Kluyveromyces lactis: one gene and its partners. The protein of the gene in region 1 interacts with the protein of each later gene in a biochemical or structural test. Links are inferred from orthologs where the notes say so. Each region holds a gene or a part of one and is shown in the gene's direction. Other genes may lie near its edges.

What was found.
Region 2: the proteins of BEM1 (region 1) and KLLA0_E20879g form a complex in vitro, tested with the Saccharomyces cerevisiae proteins (2 studies listed by BioGRID, with this or other methods). The link is inferred for Kluyveromyces lactis from reciprocal best matches to the Saccharomyces cerevisiae genes BEM1 and BOI2.
Region 3: the proteins of BEM1 (region 1) and RSR1 form a complex in vitro, tested with the Saccharomyces cerevisiae proteins (2 studies listed by BioGRID). The link is inferred for Kluyveromyces lactis from reciprocal best matches to the Saccharomyces cerevisiae genes BEM1 and RSR1.

Annotation. Positions count from the first base shown.
Region 1 is NC_006041.1:2,076,502-2,080,248, reverse strand, and holds BEM1 (phosphatidylinositol-3-phosphate-binding protein BEM1), read left to right. Parts: upstream 1-1,261; coding exon 1,262-1,270; intron 1,271-1,488; coding exon 1,489-3,207; downstream 3,208-3,747. Other genes in the region: putative ubiquitin-specific protease UBP16, read left to right, coding at 1-844; KLLA0_E23343g (uncharacterized protein), read right to left, coding at 3,487-3,747.
Region 2 is NC_006041.1:1,863,138-1,867,436, reverse strand, and holds the start of KLLA0_E20879g (uncharacterized protein), read left to right. Parts: upstream 1-1,495; coding exon 1,496-4,299. Other genes in the region: KLLA0_E20901g (uncharacterized protein), read left to right, coding at 1-1,030. UniProt on the Saccharomyces cerevisiae protein: Protein involved in bud formation. Functions redundantly with BOI1 to promote the fusion of secretory vesicles with the plasma membrane at sites of polarized growth. Acts as an abscission inhibitor during cytokinesis in response to chromatin bridges.
Region 3 is NC_006039.1:1,028,588-1,031,266, reverse strand, and holds RSR1 (Ras family GTPase RSR1), read left to right. Parts: upstream 1-1,395; coding exon 1,396-2,175; downstream 2,176-2,679. Other genes in the region: KLLA0_C12023g (uncharacterized protein), read right to left, coding at 1-590; RRP1 (Rrp1p), read left to right, coding at 2,563-2,679. UniProt on the Saccharomyces cerevisiae protein: Ras-related protein which binds GDP/GTP and possesses intrinsic GTPase activity. Involved in development of cell polarity during the cell division cycle, and essential for bud emergence.

The DNA of each region.
Region 1 (3,747 bases):
GATGTTGAGGCATCAAGGTTCTCATTCTACCGGTCACTATGAATGTTTCAGACACAAACCAGAGTTTATGAAAGACATTGATACACATCAAGTCATTAGCAAGACACCAATGGTGGACTTCGGTATTGCGTCGAATAAACTTGCAGCTGAAATCTGGAATCAGGCCGTTCTGAACTCCTCTAACAAATCCGATTCTTGTTCAATCGGCTCGGAAGATTCAATCTCCTCTAACGTGCCATTCAGATCTGTTTTCCTGGACTCACCAAACTCTGCGATTGTTACTGATGATGATTACGTTATTGGAAGCTCAGAGTTCTCTAACGACGCAGATAATAAGGGCCAAAACAACAACAGTGGTTCTGGAGTTTCAAGGACGCCATCCACTTTGAAAAGAGTCACTGGTTTCCTTTCGAGAAAGAGTTCTGTCTCGGCAGCACCGGATAATAACAATACTAGCAATATACTACCTGAAATTAGCAGTTCACCCATGGCTTCATCATCTTCAGAACATAGAAACCGCGCAAGATTTAACAGTGTCTCTTCTATGACGACTGACCGCAACGCTTCGATATTATCTAGTAATGCTAGTATCGACTCTTACAGTACAGATCAAGTTACTAATACAAGTGCTACCGAAGTGGAAACTGAAACAGATTATGACGGTATTTCAATGAATGTCAACAAGAAGACAAAGAAAAGAAGATTAAAGAAATTGAAAAGTGTGGTGAAATACCCATGGTGGAGAATATCTGATACTAAAGTTAAAGAATATAAAACTTCAGATATTTTATCAGAAACTAAATTCGTTTATATGTTGTACTATGAGAGGGTACCAGTAGTCTAACCTGGTCAGTAAGCAAATACTGGAACCAACATAACAACAACCAAAAGAATAAGAAAAAATAGAAACATAGACATATTTTACTAAATTGCACAAGCGGCACCTCACCGCTCCGAATCATTCATCCTTTGTCAATTAACTCATCGATTTATGATGACCACAGGCCATGTATTACTCGATTAATTAGTTTTAGCACTTTTACGTTAACCTTATATACATATACTGTACGATCTTTAAATTTCAGATCATGTGACCTCTAAAACCCTTCTAGAATGAAATTCTTCCTTTCCTTCTGCGGGTTGATGAAGCGAGATGAAAAAGGATTGACATGAATAAAGAGACGAGTTTCAGGAATTCATAATAACAGAGTTGATAGACGAAAGCTGCAACACAAAGGCAAAGGCAGTCAATAGTGGGAAAATGTTGAAGGTATGTAATAATGCGCGTGGTATTGTCTTATGTTTGGCAATTTTGACGTAGTAGCGGAGGATTTCTGACTTTGTTAGAGGCTGGAAAATTTTTCTTTACTGAAAGAAGGTAACCACATGAATATTGCAACGTGAAGGCAAAATACTAACATATACTATGATCATTGGTTGGTGATTAAATTGAACCAATTATCTAATTTCTGGAAATTTTTGGAATAGAATTTCAAATTGAAGAAAGACAGTGTGAAACAGCGCATAACTTCTGCGGATATTTCCGGACCTACTCAAAGTCCAGGGAGCTCAGTGCAAAACGTAAAGACCATTCCTATCAGGCAATTATCTACATCATCACAGCTATCTTCGGGGTTTACAAGTGGAAAATCAAAAGATATCTCGTCTCCAGAAAAAGTAATCAAAGCGTTATACAATTACCAGGCACAATCAGCCGGTGAATTATCATTCAATAAGGGAGACTTTTTCCATGTTCAGCAAGAGGAGAACGATTGGTATGAGGCCTCCAATCCGGCGGACGGCAAGAGAGGCATGGTTCCTAAGAATTATTTCGAGATTTTTGGCAGAACAAGGCCAAATTCGCATGCATCACCGGTGAAAAGTATAAATAGAAATGGATCTGTCGGTAGTAATCAGTTATTACAGCATCATCAGCAGCAACAGCAGCAACAGCAGCAACAACAACCTTCCAATATGGGAACTCTTTATGCAATTGTACTGTATGATTTTCAAGCAGAAAAGGCAGATGAGTTAACAGCCTATGCCGGAGAAAACTTGTTCATTTGTGCTCATCACGATTTTGAATGGTTTATCGCTAAGCCCATTGGCAGGTTGGGTGGTCCCGGTCTAGTTCCTGTTGGTTTTGTGACTATTATAGATATAGCTACTGGTTATGCCACGGGAAATGATGTAAAAAGCGATATCGAATCAGTGAATCTACCCTCGGTCCAAGAATGGAAGATCAATATCGCCCGTTACAAGGCTAGCAATATCACACTAGGTTCAGTGGAACAGCAGGGTCAGTCGTACGTGCAACACCGATCACAATCCAGGCAAAATTCACAAAACCGTCAACCACACCCCAGCACGCAGCACTCGAGCGCTGCCAATACAACCTATCCTGCTGATGCCGTTTTCCTTACCTACGCTGCAGTCGAGACATTTTTCCTACAGGACGATAAGTATTGGTTCCAAGTCTCGTGTCAGTTATCCAACAACACCACGCGTATTTTGAAGCGTTATTATGAAGATTTCTATGATTTACAAGTAAAGCTACTCGATATCTTCCCTGCAGAAGGGGGTAAACTAAGAGACACTAATGGTCAGTGGACGAAACGTATAATGCCATATATACCGGGTCCAGTTCCGTATGTGACAGATACCATTTCAAAAAAGAGAAAAGATGACCTAAATATATACGTGAAGGATTTGATTTCCCTACCGCCGCATATATCACAATCACATCTGGTCAAGGGTTTGTTTGCCGTTAAAAATAATGGTTTTGACCGTGAGATTAGTAATGATGAAACTGTGGAGCTTGACGTAAAAGGTAGGGCTGATGATTCAACTCTGACTAACCAAGAACTACAACTTCCAGAGGCAATGAAGAGACTGTCTCTGATTAATAGCGCTTCCAATGCCAGTGCTAAAGTCAAATCAAGGCCGCCTAGTGGTTTCGCTCCGAGAATAACTGATGAAAAGCCTGTCAAGATCAAATTTTATTACAAAGATGACATATTCGCCTTGATGCTGCATCCTACCATTACTTTTGAAGAATTGTGCAGTAAAATAGCACCTAGAATTGACGCAGATTCTTTTAAGTTGTACATCAAAAACGGAGATGATATTGGCACTCAAGTCACTACTGATGCAGAAGTACCGGTTCTAATTCAAGAGAAACGCAAGATCTTTGTCGATGACAGCTAAGTTATTTGTTGCAAAATTTTATCGTCATAATAAATAATACAAAAAGAACCCCAAGGTGGTCAAAATTCAATTTCTATCCACTGATGGCTTTCATGCTTATCATAATGATGTACTGTACATCGCATTGTAATACTTCAACATAATTTTGACATTAACACTCTTATATTCTTTCACATTAATTCAGTTCAACAAGTAAAAATCAGTTGTTTACATACTCTCTCTATAGGTGTTAATACTTCTATCAAAATGATAATAATACTTCACAAACATGTCTAAGGACTATTCATCCAGCTCTATGTCCATGTCTGCATCCGCGTACGGATCTGTATCGAGATCCATGTCAATGTCCATGTCCGCATTGTGATCAAACTCATCATTTCTATGCATGAGATTCGGTGCCAGATCAACTCTGGAATCTGCTGCAGTCTCAACATTCATATCTACTTCATCTAATTTTGGACTATGCTGTTGGTACCATTTTACCCACAAGCTTGCTACCACAGATCGCCAGTCATACCATTTTATTACCTGCGAGTTAAA
Region 2 (4,299 bases), about 210 kb from region 1:
GAAGTTCGAGGACTATCTTTCTGTGTTTGATCTAACCCCACAATTGGCTGATTTCACTGAAGAATCTAAGTTATCTGTTGCCCACAGGTGTGTCAACTCTTTAAAGAAGTTACGATCCAGTTTCGAAAGTGAATTACCAGTAGTGGTATCGTTGCATCTTTCATTAGATAAATATACGTGGGACCTATGGATATATCACCATGGCAGTGATTTTCCTGTGGAGAACGTTCCTTTGAAGATTAATGTGATCAAGACTTTGAGCCAAACGCTTGATGATTATTCACGTCGAAGTGACTCTCAATTCGTGGAAGTTATTGCACGTACACTTCAGTATCTAAACAAGTTGGTACAGGCGTCATTACTGAGTGGTGTTCAGCCGCAAATGATGACACCCAGTCTTTCTATGGGCCCACCGCTGAGGAAACCCGGATATCAGGATAGAGAGACTGTTCATCGCTCTATATTGAACTCCAAACGCAGACCAAGTGCTAACGGAAGCGATTCAGCATCTATAATTAGTGCGAAAAGTTCGGGAAACAAGAGTATAGCTTCGACGAAGTCAAAGAGAAGCATTTTCCAAAAAATGAAAGGTATGTCACGTTGGTCTCAACACATTTCAAGCGAAAACAATCCAGACCATAAAGGCAGAGCATCAAGTTCAATTAGCCCCTTTAACCGACAATCGTCATCAATCCCAAATATGAATGGTTCTGTTAATTCCAGCTCATCTCGAGGTACCAATACCCCATCTAATAGAAAGAGTTCTTTTTCTACTAATTCATCTGATGCGACCTTTTTGAACAATAACAAGACACACTTCAGAAAGCAAGACTTATCAGGAATGCCCGAATACATCTCGTGGGTACAAAAACTTACATTTCAGGTCCTACAGCTGCCCCAAACCTCACAGAATGATATCATTTTCTCTTTCATCAACAAATGCATAATCCCATTCATATTAAATGACGGACATTTACTTCAAATACAAATTATACAGAAAAACGTTATCTCAGCTTTCCTCAGCGCTTGATATGGCGGTCATATAGTTGGACAATAAATGATAGTACTATGTATTTTAGACCCGTAATTAAGGATGAATCACCAACGGTAACATGAAGAACCAGTCGTTAGGTATCGGTCGCAAGTCCGGGTAACGAGCATTCGCTATTTGGGAACAGAATGGAAATTTGGAAGCAAGACGTGGACTTTTAAAGAAACAAACATTAGAAAGTAAGTTGCACTTCGTAAAAAACCAAAACATAAGAACCATCAAGGGTCGTAGTATAGTCTGGTCACCGAAAGTGCTCAAAATTGTGGTAAGAGGTTTGCTAACGTGGACGAATTATATATTGGTGCAAATAGAGCAGTTTCGTTTTGTTTTTTTTCCATTTTCCTCATAGTTTATACGTTTCATCTCAACAATTCGCTGGACTTCATTTAGAGCATCTCAGCCGTATCATACCGTTCGAGTTCCAGAAATACCTACAAAATCAGTATGGCATCTAATAAAGTACCTAAGCTAACCCATATAGATACCACTAATTTACGGAGTACCAGTGGAGGCGTGCCATCTGTTGGAGAAACACCCTTAGGTGCAGGGTTTCAGCCGCAGAAAACATTCCCGTTGTTTATTTGTATCACCGAGTACAGTAAGCGTATGGATGACGAACTAGATATGAGGCCTGGAGACAAGATTCAAGTGGTCACCGATGATGGGTCGTATAACGATGGTTGGTATTTTGGTAAGAATCTAAGAACACAAGAAGAAGGCCTGTATCCCAAAGTTTTCACTCAAGTCATTGCTATGGAACGCAAACCAGCCCTGATGAGGGCAAAAAGCTCCAAGAGAATCGCAAGTCCGTTTGCCTCTGGAAGCAATACAAATCTTTCATACCCGTCCCAGGATGGGTCCACCAGTGAGCTACCTACCCCTCAGCCGTTAGAAACTGCACAACCCGCAACTTATAGGAAATTTGATAATATCAAAGCGCCCAACTCAGACATGATAAAAGTTCCTGTGGATAGGAACATATCAATGAAAAGCACAATGAGTGATATAGATAAGGCACTTGAAGAGTTAAGGGGTGACTCTTTCCCCTCTGGAACTGATTCCATCGATTATGATCAAAGACCTGGGTTGAAAAGACTTGTTTCAGGTTCATCATTAGATTTCACCAAAAGTAATAGCCTGGCTTCTACTGGAACCAACGAATTACGCCCAGAAAATGTGAAGAATTGGGTTCCGGAACAGGTTACAGCTTACCTCATCTCATTGGGATTCGATGTGGAATCAGCATCGAGGTTCCAAAAGCATAAAATTTCAGGTACAATTCTTTTGGAACTAGAATTAGCGCATTTGAAGGAATTGGAGATAAACTCGTTTGGAACTCGTTTTGAGATCTTTAAAGAAATTGAGGCTTTGAAGGAAATATCGACCCAGAATGGCACTTCTGCCAATAACAGGAATAGTTTGATGCCCGCTGCATCATTCAAACAAAATGCTGGGATAACGATAACCTCACCTTCTAACCATGATATTCCAACGTATCGAGGCCACCTAAGGAAAACATCACAATCTATGGAGGAACTAAATTCAAATTCGACTCCAACTCCAAAGAACTTCGTAACCCCATCGTCTGGAACACACACCAAAAGCTCTCAGAAACCTAGACCAGCATCCTTGCTATTTACTAATGAAACTACTAAAGCTCCGGATATTTCAGAAGATGTGTTCGCGTCGCCTAGACGTGCCCCAAAGCCTCCTTCATACCCATCACCAGTCCAGCCTCCAAAATCACCTATGGTTAGTGCTTCTAGTTCTGGCTCTGGCGGTAGGTTCTTGTCACCTCAACCTAACGCAATGTCCAGTGCTCAAACTTCCAAATACGCACATCCCACGATATATGAACAAGTGGCAGATGGTAAAGCAAAGGCAAAGGAGGAAAAATCGAGGGAGGATGAGATTCACGACCAGTTCGAATTTCCTCCTAAAAGGAAGCAGGGTCCAACTTCTAGTACCCCTAGCCTTCCAAACCCATATTTCAAGGAAACACAATCTATCGAACGAAACCCAAGTCCAACTGAGCAAGTTTCAGAGAATCGCGGTAGTGTAGTCTACTCCGGACATGTCAAAACCAAATCAGGCGGATCCTTCGTCGAACTGTTTAACAGGATATCAATGCTGTCGGAAAATACAGAAAATAAACAGGCCGATCGTGAATCTGATGCAGAAACTGGTGTTAATATGGAAAGACCTTCTTCTAGTGTATACGGGCATTCCAGAGCTACCTCATACTCTACCAATCATGGTAGAAAACCTTCCCAAGCCAACTCAGAAAGAAGGCATAGAAGGAATTCTTCTCTGCTGTCATTTTTCAAAGAGAAGGATGAGCATGCCGAGACAGATACTGCACATACTAAAACATCAAGAAGGACGTCGGTTTCTCATAGCAGGAAGAATTCATTTGTTAGTCCCTTCAACACTATTGATAACGGTACGCCTAGTCAAAGACATTCGATGATGCTAAGTACATCTCCTATTAAAGACCTTCCAAACCCCCAAACTCGAAAAGAAGCTAAGAGACGCTCTGTTAGCGCTAAAGAACCTGCCTCGGATGTATTTTATGACGCGAAAGATACTTTATACGAACCGGATGTTAATCAAAATAGGTCTGTGAGTGAATCAACTAAACCGAGAACAGCTCGCGGTACGAGCTCGAAAAATGTCGGAAAACAAAGAACTACCGCATTCACGGAAGGTATCCGTAGTATTACTATATCCGAAGCTATGCGTGAAGCAGATTGTTCAGGTTGGATGAGTAAGAAGGGTACTGGTGCTATGGGTGTTTGGAAAAATAGATTCTTTACGTTGCATGGTACCAGATTGTCGTACTTTGCCAATACAACCGAAAATAGAGAACGTGGATTGATTGATATAACCGCTCATAGAGTGTTGCCAGCAAAAGAAGATGACAAATTTGTTTCTCTCTATGCTGCTAGCACTGGTAAAGGGCGTTATTGCTTTAAATTGGTTCCTCCTCAACCTGGCTCCAAGAAAGGTCTAACGTTTACTCAGCCTCGTGTACATTACTTCGCAGTAGACACCAAAGAGGAGATGAGAGCATGGATAGCAGCTCTTATCAAAGCTACCATTGACATTGACACTTCAGTTCCTATTATCAGTTCATGTGCGACGCCTACCGTTTCATTAACAAAAGCTCAGGAAATGCTGTCCCAAGCGCGTGAAGAAACTAGACTGAGAGAGCAGCAAAGGTCACTGAATGAACATGACGAAGACTT
Region 3 (2,679 bases), on another chromosome or scaffold:
ACTCTGACTGGAATTAACTGGTCCCCTAATTTCACAAACAGCTGTTTTTCCGAACTGTCCCCTTGCTGGAATACAATTTCACCATTTCCATTCGTATACAAACTGGATGAAATGCAGTCCCATTTCTTAGGTTTAATCTTCCTATCGGTGATCTTTTGATCTAGATCAATAACTACCTGTTGCCCCACTAACTGTGCCGATTGTTCCAGGGATTCAGCCACAGGATATGCAAGTTTCACAGACGTTATTCCAGATCCGGCATCTGTATGTTCACCGCACAATATCATTGCTTCGCTGGGTTCTCCTCTGAGTTTACATTTTTTTATATTATCTACCACTATGCATAACTTATCCTGTAACTGATCTCTCGGAATGTATTGTCTGATCCCACTACAGATCTGTTTCACAGATCCATTCCCCAATTCCACTTGAGAAACGTACATTTTCTCCGAATTGGGATGCAATGCTACTTGTTGGAATTTCCCAACCTTCAAGTTCAATAGCTCGAAAGGAAACCGTTTTGCCTCATTGCAAATCCTGCTAACATGGAAATCCCGTACCAATCGCTTCACAACTCCTTGTAGAAACATTATATCCCTTTTGAGTTGTTATCACTGGAATGGATCAACCAAGTAGCAGATCCATAAAAGAATACCGAGTTATTTACTGCTGACAGAAATCATGGGTAAGATTTTTATCATCTCTCAGACTTCTACCGTATCGAGTTGCGAGATCCGAGTTTGGCAGAGATGAGCTAACAGAAGGAAAAAGGAAAAAAACATGAAACTTTCGAAAATCAGAGATGAAAAAAAAAGATGCGAAAACAATTTGGTTGTTGCATTTAGCGGGTATTAAATGTAAATAACGAATTAACCAACCGTAGACACTTTGGGTAGTCTTCAGGAGGGTACAATTCATCATTCATATAGACGATAATCTCAATTAAGGGAAATTGAACCTAACTCTATCCTGTAGCTTCTTTTGTATCTGATCTGATTGAAACTGTGAGTTTTCTTTTATTTTTGGTGTTTATTTAGCTGTTCCTGTTGGTAAAGAGGAAGAAGAAAAAGAGCGTTGCGAATAAACGTACGTGCATTCTGATATTACTCCCTTGTTCACTGATCGGTATAAGGACGAGTATTCAATTTTATCTTGAATATAACAAGGAAAATAGTGACAGGCACCAGTATATCAAGCTGATCTCATAGTTGATTTAGTTCGCTATAAGTTTGCATTCTGAAATATACCAGTAACACGCGTTAAAAGCATACATAATCGAAGAAATACTCTTTTTGACGGCGATTTACACCTCAAAGAATTTCTACTGGAAAGTATCAGGGTACCTAATTCACATCTTCAGGTTCTTAAACCGAAGAAAAACGATAGATAATAAAGATGAGAGATTATAAATTGGTTGTTCTTGGAGCCGGCGGTGTCGGTAAGTCATGTTTGACAGTTCAGTTTGTGCAAGGGGTTTACTTAGATTCCTATGACCCGACCATAGAAGATTCGTATCGCAAGACCATGGAGATTGATAATAAGGTTTTTGATTTGGAAATCTTGGACACTGCAGGAGTGGCACAATTCACAGCTATGAGAGAATTGTATATCAAATCTGGAATGGGGTTCTTGTTGGTGTATTCTGTCAGTGATCGTCAGTCATTAAATGAGCTGCTCGAGTTACGAGAACAAGTATTGCGGATTAAAGATTCCGATCGTGTCCCCATTGTGCTCGTTGGTAATAAGGCAGACTTACAAGATGAACGTGTAATTTCAGTAGAAGAGGGAATCGAAGTCAGTAGTAAATGGGGCAAAGTACCATTTTACGAAGCTAGTGCACTACTCAGAAGTAATGTCGATGAAGTATTTATTGATCTTGTAAGACAAATTATCAGAAACGAGTTAGAATCTGCATCTAACATCAATAACAGTCAATCTAGAAAATTTAGCCAAGCTCGTACGATGGGAAGTAGTTCAATGACAGAACTGGGAAACGACGATTCAAACCCTTCTCAAGAACGAAATAATGACATTGCGGGTCCAAGTCAAGTTCAACGATTAGTTTCAAGAGTCCAAACCAAGAAGGATATTAGCTCAAAACCAGCAGCTGATTCAAATAAACATGCTAAGAAGAAACGGAAAAAGAGTAAGAAACGGTCTTGTGTAATATTATAACGTTGTGTTTTTCGTTCTGTAATTTTCGTTCATAATAGTTTGTTAAAATAATACTAAAATAAAAACTTCATAAAAACAACTACCGATTGATCAGATATGGGAGAATCTAATTTCAACCATGAAACTTATATACCTATCAGGATATACCTACCAGGATATACCCAAACAGTTAACCCACGATTCAATTGAGTACAACCATCTCAATATTCTGCATAACATCTCGAGGAAAAATTCTCAAAAAAAAGAAGAGCTGCACAGATTGAAAAATAAAAATTAAAGTTGACTGAGATGAGATGCGATGAGATGAGATGAGATGTGTCGCTGTTCATGCAATACCGAAGAGAGAAACAAGTACTGCACCCATCCATATAGCAACATCTCAAACAAATGGAAAACACATTAGTAAAGCAGTTAGCTGGTCATAGGAAGGAGACCCGTGAACAGGCCTTCGAGTCTCTTCGCAAATATTTGACAACAAGAAATTTCCAAAACGCTAAACAATCC